2 linked regions of the Danio rerio genome follow. Each later gene encodes a partner of the first gene's protein in a complex. Links are inferred from orthologs where the notes say so. Each region holds a gene or a part of one and is shown in the gene's direction. Other genes may lie near its edges.

Region 1 (3,660 bases):
AATGATCATCTATTCATCTCCCTGTCATTTAAAACCTCTATTTGTGAAGATAAAAGGGGATATTAGCTCGCATTTACCTTTATTGAAAAAAGTAACCTGTAACATTCTGCAAAACATCTCTTTGTGAAGAAAGAAAGTTATACATGTTTGGTTTAATGTGATTTTATTTTAGGAGAAAGTTTGGAAATCCATTGCACGTTATGTCCTTTTAGTGTAATTCACATCACCGCACACACACACGCACGCACGCACGCACACACACACGCACACACACACACAGTTTTAATCAGCTGCACTCTCTCTGCCCTTCTCCGTGCACTTCAGATGGTCTTTTCAGCCCATGTTAGTGAAAGCCATATGTCACGGTGGTAGGCCCACTGGTAAATAGCTGCAGGTTGATAATAATGCTGTGTTTACAGTATGTTGTGGTCTCCAGACCAAGGTCGTCTGGTTTTAATAGTCTTTTGAAAGCAAACTGTTCTTGGATAAAATGAAACCTTTGATTTTTATAATGCACTGCCTTCATGTTGCATTGCATGCAGAGAGAGAGAGAGACACACACACACACACACATAATCAGGATGTGAATCAGCTCTGATTGTGAAAAAGTTTAGCTGTAGTGCTTTAGAAAAGATCAAAGTGACAGATCATATTAGCATTTAAAAGATAAATCTCTTCAGTTACATCAAAGTTACGTAATGGTATCAGATGGCAATACCATCTAACTGAATCATTTCCATATTTATGCAATATGTTGTTAATTGTGCATGATACACTATAGCTATTCAAAAAATGTCTTTGGATTGCCATGATAAATGTCTAAAAGTTGATATTTACGTAATGCTTTTTTAAAAATCTGTGGCATTACCACCATAAAACACAGTATTAACCTGAAATCATGTGGAAAAAACATAGTATTACTATAGGTAATTGTATTATAATTGTGGGAAGTGTAATAGCATGAAGAAAAACACTTTACACTACCTTACAAAGGTTTTGTCGTTAATACCATTTCTAAGAGCAACAAATAATAACTTGGCTTCTAGTTGATCATTTGGAAAAGTGGCAAAAGGGAGATTTGAATCAGCTGTTGAACTGCATCCCAATCATATCTAATACTGCAGAAGAATGATTAAACCACTTGAAAAAGTGGCAGAAGGTCGATTTTTCAGATGAATCATATGTGAATCTGCATCCTAATCATCACAAATACTGCAAAAGACCTATTGGAACCCGCATGGATCACAAGATTCTCACAGATATCTCAAGTTTCTCAAGTGTAGTGAAGGAAAAATCATGGTTTGGGGCTACATTCAGTATGCAGGTGTGTGAGAGATCTGCAGAGTGGATGGCAACGTCAACAGCCTGAGGTATCAAGACATTTGTGCTCCCCATTACATTACAAACCACAGGAGAGGGCAAATTCTTCCGCCTCCTTCTCATACTTCAGCCTCCACATTAAAGTTCCTGAAAGCAAATAAGGTCACGGTGCTCCAGGATTGGCCAGCCCAGTCACCAGACATGAACATTATTGAGCATGTCTGGGGTAAGACGGAGGAGGAGGCATTAAAGATGAATCCAAAGAATCTTAATGAACTGTGGGAGTCCTGCAAGAACGCTTTCTTTGCCATTTCAGATGACTTATTAATAAAGTTATTAGAGTCATTTCAGAGATGTATGGATGCAGTCCTCCAAGCTCATGGGAGTCATACACAATATTAACTCTGTTTAAACCCCTCCATGACTTTATATTCTGTACTGGACATCATTTCTGTTAAGTGACAAAACTTTTGTCTAAGCAAAGTCAGACCTTACTGCCATAATTAAATAGTGAAAAATCAAGCCATGATCATATTTTATTTTGGTGAAATAAGTGTAATCTAGAGGCTTTTGCCTTCCATATAAGCCACTTTGATACCAAATGATCAACTAGAAGTCAAGATATTATTTGCTGTTGCTAAAACCTGGATAGGCGACAAGACTAGATTACCATTGTAAGCATATTGACATGAAACCTGTATAAAACTCAATGGCATTATCATAGTAAATGTAAACAAGCCACAGTAAACACATCACATTATTGTGATATTATGTGCAAAAAAAGCATGATATCATTATGGTAAATCATGGTATTATTGTGTCCACAAACTAGGGCTAAAGTCTAAAACGTTAATATAATGCATGTGCAAAACTCCACACAATTATCATAATAATCTACAGTATTATCCTGACATCATATGAAAAACCTTGAAATTACTATGGTAAATAATGGTATTATCATGACAAATATAAAATGGCATTGCGTCCAAAAAAAGGACTTGGTAAAAACATTGCACATACCTAAACAACAACAACAAAAAAATGTAGTTGCATATTTTTAAGCCTTATAAGATGTGCAAAACACTGTATTACCATGGTAAAGTCAGAAAAACATAGTAACATGGTTATGGTGCATGTTCTGTAAAACATATATGTCAGCACTGTTTCAACTGAGCTTCTCTGTTGCAGATGAGCGTGCGCCCCTGCTGAGACGCCAGCGGTACCTCTTCAACATCAGCTCAATGGAGAAGGAGGGTCTGCTGGGTGCGGAGCTGCGGATCCTCCGAAAGAAGCACATGGACTCTCGAAAAGCCACTTTCTCTGAGGGCATGGCAGTTCTGAGACTCTTCACCTGCGCCTCAGGTAAAAACGCAGCCGTCCTGCTGCAGGCGAGACCTTTCGACTCTCACAGCGCCTCCTACTGGGAGGTGTTTGACATCTGGAAGGTGTTCAAGAACTTCAGAAACACTCCTCAGCTCTGCTTGGAGCTGGACGCCGTTGATCACGGCCGACCGCTTGACTTGAGGTTACTGGGATTGAGTCGGGCAGGACGGCAAACTAAGGAGAAAGCCTTCTTCGTGGTGTTCGGGCGCACAAAAAAGCGAGGGCTCTTTTACAATGAAATCAAAGCACGGTCCGGGCATGATAATAAGACCGTGTATGAGTATCTGTTCACTCAGAGGCGGATGCGTCGGGCACCGTTGCCGCGTGGGAAAAAACCAATCAAGAACCCCAAACAGAGATGCAACCGCAAGCAGTTGCACGTGAACTTCAAGGAAATGGGCTGGGATGACTGGATCATCGCTCCGCTGGAGTACGAGGCCTTTCACTGCGATGGCGTCTGTGACTTTCCCATCCGCTCCCATTTGGAACCGACCAATCACGCCATCATCCAGACTCTGATGAACTCTATGGACCCTAGATCCACGCCGCCGACCTGCTGCGTGCCCACCAGACTCAGCCCCATCAGCATCCTGTACATTGACTCAGCCAATAATGTGGTGTACAAGCAGTACGAGGACATGGTGGTGGAGAGCTGTGGCTGCAGGTAGCAAGACATGAACATTTACATTTTGGGGTTTTGTGACTTCCAGACTTTGTCACAATGTTTTAATAAGACTGCCAAAACTAAGAGTACGACTTTCATTTGTTGCAAACGTAGCCCAGGGATGCCCAAACTCGGTCCTGGAGGGCAAGTGTCCTGCATATTTTAGTTCCAACCCCAACTAAACATAGCTGAACCAGCAATTCAAGCTCTTTCTAGATATACTAGAAACTTCTAGACAGGTGTGTTGAAGTAAGTTGTAGCTAAACTCCCTCTAGGAACGAGTTTGGAGACCT
Region 2 (3,760 bases), on another chromosome or scaffold:
CAAATATTGCCTAATTATTGTCATTTACAGGACAACATCAGAAATTGTGTAACGAAATGCATCTTTTTTGTATAAATACCTGATTTATACTGTATTTTATAAATAGGTTTAAACAATTATTTGGGAACTATTTCCATTCTCTTTAGTTGCATAAATGTTTTCAACTCAAACTATTTTTTACACATTTCACATTCAGTTGAATGTATATTATTTCAGCACATTTAATTATTTAGCTAGTTTTTATGTAAAGTTTACAATTAATATTTTTGTAGTTATACATTTTATTTTAATACATTTTTACATGTTTTTAAATCCCGTTTTATTTTATTATTAGCCTATTAATATTATTTTTTATAGCTTTCCTTGTTACTTTTTTAACATTCATTCATTCATGCTTTTCAGCTTTGCCCTTTATTAATCCTTGGTCGCCACAGTAAAATGAACCGCCAATTTATCCAGCCTATGTTTACGCAGCGGATGCCCTTCCAGCTGCAACCCATAACTGGGAAAGTTTTTTAAAAGTTCAAACACAATAACTTAAACATTTGGTTCAACAAATATTTACACATTTTACAATAAAAGATACAATATACAAACAATACATTTAAAAATAAAATAATAATAGAAATAAATAAATACAGTAAGTATATAATAATAAAATATAATGGAAATAAATGCATATTAGCCTATTATTGTCATCGTTTTTACTAAAGTGTTTATCTAAATGTTTGAATATTTGAATAAAAAAAAATTATCTCATAATTTTAGAAATTAAGGACACTTGATAAAATCTTTACCTAAAGCAAAAATATTTAATAAAATGTGATTAAAATTCTGGATCACACTTCTACACCATTTACAACATTCTTTTGGGTAATTTATGTAACCTGTTGCTGCAATCAACAACTATGCGTAATGTAATTGAAACAAATCCAGTAATAAGAGCGTGTGCTGTGTCTAGGATAAACACGTGTGTGTTGACAAACAGCTCATAGAGAAAGAGAGAGAGAGACTAGAGCTGCTCTCCGTCAGCTGGCGCGCGCGTGTGGCAGGTGCGCACCGCGGGTGATTTACGCGTCTTCTCCTTCAGTGCGGGACGGTGACGCGGATCACACCGCACACGAGCGCGTCACTGTCAGAAGTGACGGGGAAAGATCTCAGCGGCGGTCTACAGGAGACAGTCCTCTGATTCTGTGAGTTCATATATTATATTTTACCTGCATTTATTGTCATTAATTAACAATTCAACTAATGTGAATGTAAGTGTGTTTGACCAAACATTTAATACTGCTCAAGAGCTACTATATTTGATCTTTAGACACTGTTTTGGAATTTTTGAATGTACTTTATTTTAATATCTGTTTATCAAATATATAGGTCATATATACCCTGAATTATGACTACTTAAATGTGTCAATTTAAAAAAAAAATACAGGATTATACAGGGAGTATTTTTTGGATATTTTTTAACATAAGACGTCACTTCAAATGTTGACTATACACTGAACAAAACGATGTCTGCAAACATTTTATGTGTTGAATTTAAACAAACTAATTAAATTTAGTAATGTTCAACTTAATATGTTTGTTTAAATTCAGCCCAAATAAATTGTTCATCATCTTTGAATCATACATAAGCAATGTTATTTTCTTACAGTAATTAAGTTCACCACTTTGGATTATTTTGTGATTTAAAAAGCTACCACACAAAGAATTTAAGATATTATTTGTTTAATATAATGTTATCTTCGTAATAGTTTACAATTTTTAAAACATTTTCCTTCTATAGTTAAACAGTAAACTGAATATATCTGAACATTAAAATTAAGCCTTGTAGCTCTTTATAGTTTACACATTGCTAACTAGGTCACACTTTACAATGAGTTTGATTAGTTAATGTATTTACTAACATGAACTAATTATGAACAATACTTGTACAGCCTTTATTAATCATAGTTCAACATTTAATCCATTATTAACATCCGTATTCATGCTTGTAAAGATTAGTTATTACACCATGAGTTAACATGAACTAACAATGAATGACTATTTTCATTAACTAACATGGATAAATACTGTAATACATGTTTTGTTCATTGTTTGTTCATGTTAGTAAATGCATTAGCTAATACAACCTTATTGTAAAGTTTTACTGCTAACTATTACTTAATATCATAGAACTAATATCATATAATGATATATATAATCATACAATGATTGCACCGCTATAAGAACCTACTTTGTCATAGTTGTCTACTCTCATAACGCACAGTTGAAATGACAGTCATGTCCAGCAGAAAGGCATTGATTTTCAATTCACTGGAATCTGTTTTCTGTGTGTGAGACTGAAAGAGCAGCAGCTGTGCAGTTGAGCATTCAGTGTCCTGAAATGTTTGGTAGCCCATGAGCATTTACACCCATTTGGAGTGGAAATGAGCTCTTGGTAAAAGTGCTTGCACACCAGCTTCTACCCGTTTCCACAGTTCGTTGAACGAGGGACTGATTCTGATTCCGTCCGGCTGAAATTAGCCTGCAGAAGGAAACAGAGAGCTGTCGAGTTTCTGCTGTGTGTCTCACACCTGCTACTGTGCTGCAGAGCTTTCAGACGCAGCTATTTCCACTAGGGCAGGTGCTGGAGGGGTAGGCCGGTGTGCTGGGTGTATATTTAGACCCCCTATTTCTGCCCTGCAACTCTCGTAACTTTGCCCCGCCAGCAGTCGTCCTAGCAGAAAAAATAATCAGCTGTCACTGTTGAGGAAAAAAACACTCTGAAGCGCATCCAAAAGAAACCAGATTTAAATGAGATTTCTGATATCTGTTTGTTGTGTTTAAACTGAAAGGATTCAGCTCTGCCTTTGACAGATTGCTGATATCAGAGTTGTTGGTCAAGTGCAAACACGCATATTGGATTGGAGTTTACTCTCGCGTTCCTCCAGTGTTTGCTCTTGAGGCTTTGTAAATAACACATCGGTGCAGAGAGTCCAAACTGCCAGCACTGACAGCATTGTGTGACCATTTTTTTCAGTCAGATTGTATTACCTGAAGCATTCTGATCGTATTGCCTTGGATATCAGCTAGTGTGAATTCATGGATGTTGGTGTTGTGTGATAACATGCACACAACTGTCCATAAAATTTGATCAGTTTATAATGTGCTGCTTTCTCTTTTAAAGGGTGTTCAACACGATCAGGACATTATCAGTCTCTTGATGACTCTCAGTAACTCTTAAGGTAAGGGAAAGTTTCTAAATGATCAGGTGTAATGCTGGTGTCCTGACATTTTATCCTACCCATCAGATTATCCTACTAAAACTGTATTTAAATGGTTCTGAGGTTGCGGTTAGGGATTGGGTAGGTTAGGGAGATATTACAGCTTCATGTCCCACTACTCCACATTAAAATGTACACTGGTAGCAAAGTCTGATGGGTAACATTACATCATCAAAATGTGCTAGCTACTTTTTGAATGGGAGGTAGGACAATCTGACAAGGACAAATCGACAGAACAGTTCTGACATGATCTGATGGAGAGTGTTGTTTTGAATCATAAATGGCATGGCACAAATGTTTTTTAACATTTTCCTCTTTATTTTTGTGAGTTATAGGTGTTTTTAGCGTATTTAAATTTTTATATTGCATTTTGGGACAGTAAAATGTCTGTAAATGAAACTTTTTTTTTGTGTTTTGTGATGCTTTATTTATTTATTTATTTATTTATTTATTTATTTAATCCTCTTGAGTTCCATTATGAGACCTTGATG

The links. Proteins that work in one complex are often made in the same cells at the same time.
Region 2: the proteins of gdf5 (region 1) and hjv are in contact, whole or in part, in a crystal structure (PDB 6Z3L), measured with the Homo sapiens proteins. The link is inferred for Danio rerio from reciprocal best matches to the Homo sapiens genes GDF5 and HJV. Residues at the interface, in NP_000548.2 of Homo sapiens: Met412, Trp414, Trp417, Phe478, Asp480, Ser481, Lys488, Tyr490, Met493; in NP_001366281.1 of Homo sapiens: Arg95, Arg98, Gly99, Leu101, His104, Ser105, His108.

Annotation. Positions count from the first base shown.
Region 1 is NC_133181.1:55,372,940-55,376,599, reverse strand, and holds part of gdf5 (growth/differentiation factor 5), read left to right. Parts: intron 1-2,508; coding exon 2,509-3,371; 3' UTR 3,372-3,660. UniProt on the Homo sapiens protein: Growth factor involved in bone and cartilage formation. During cartilage development regulates differentiation of chondrogenic tissue through two pathways.
Region 2 is NC_133191.1:47,328,302-47,332,061, reverse strand, and holds the start of hjv (hemojuvelin precursor), read left to right. Parts: upstream 1-1,128; 5' UTR 1,129-1,193; intron 1,194-3,172; 5' UTR 3,173-3,230; intron 3,231-3,760. UniProt on the Homo sapiens protein: Acts as a bone morphogenetic protein (BMP) coreceptor. Through enhancement of BMP signaling regulates hepcidin (HAMP) expression and regulates iron homeostasis.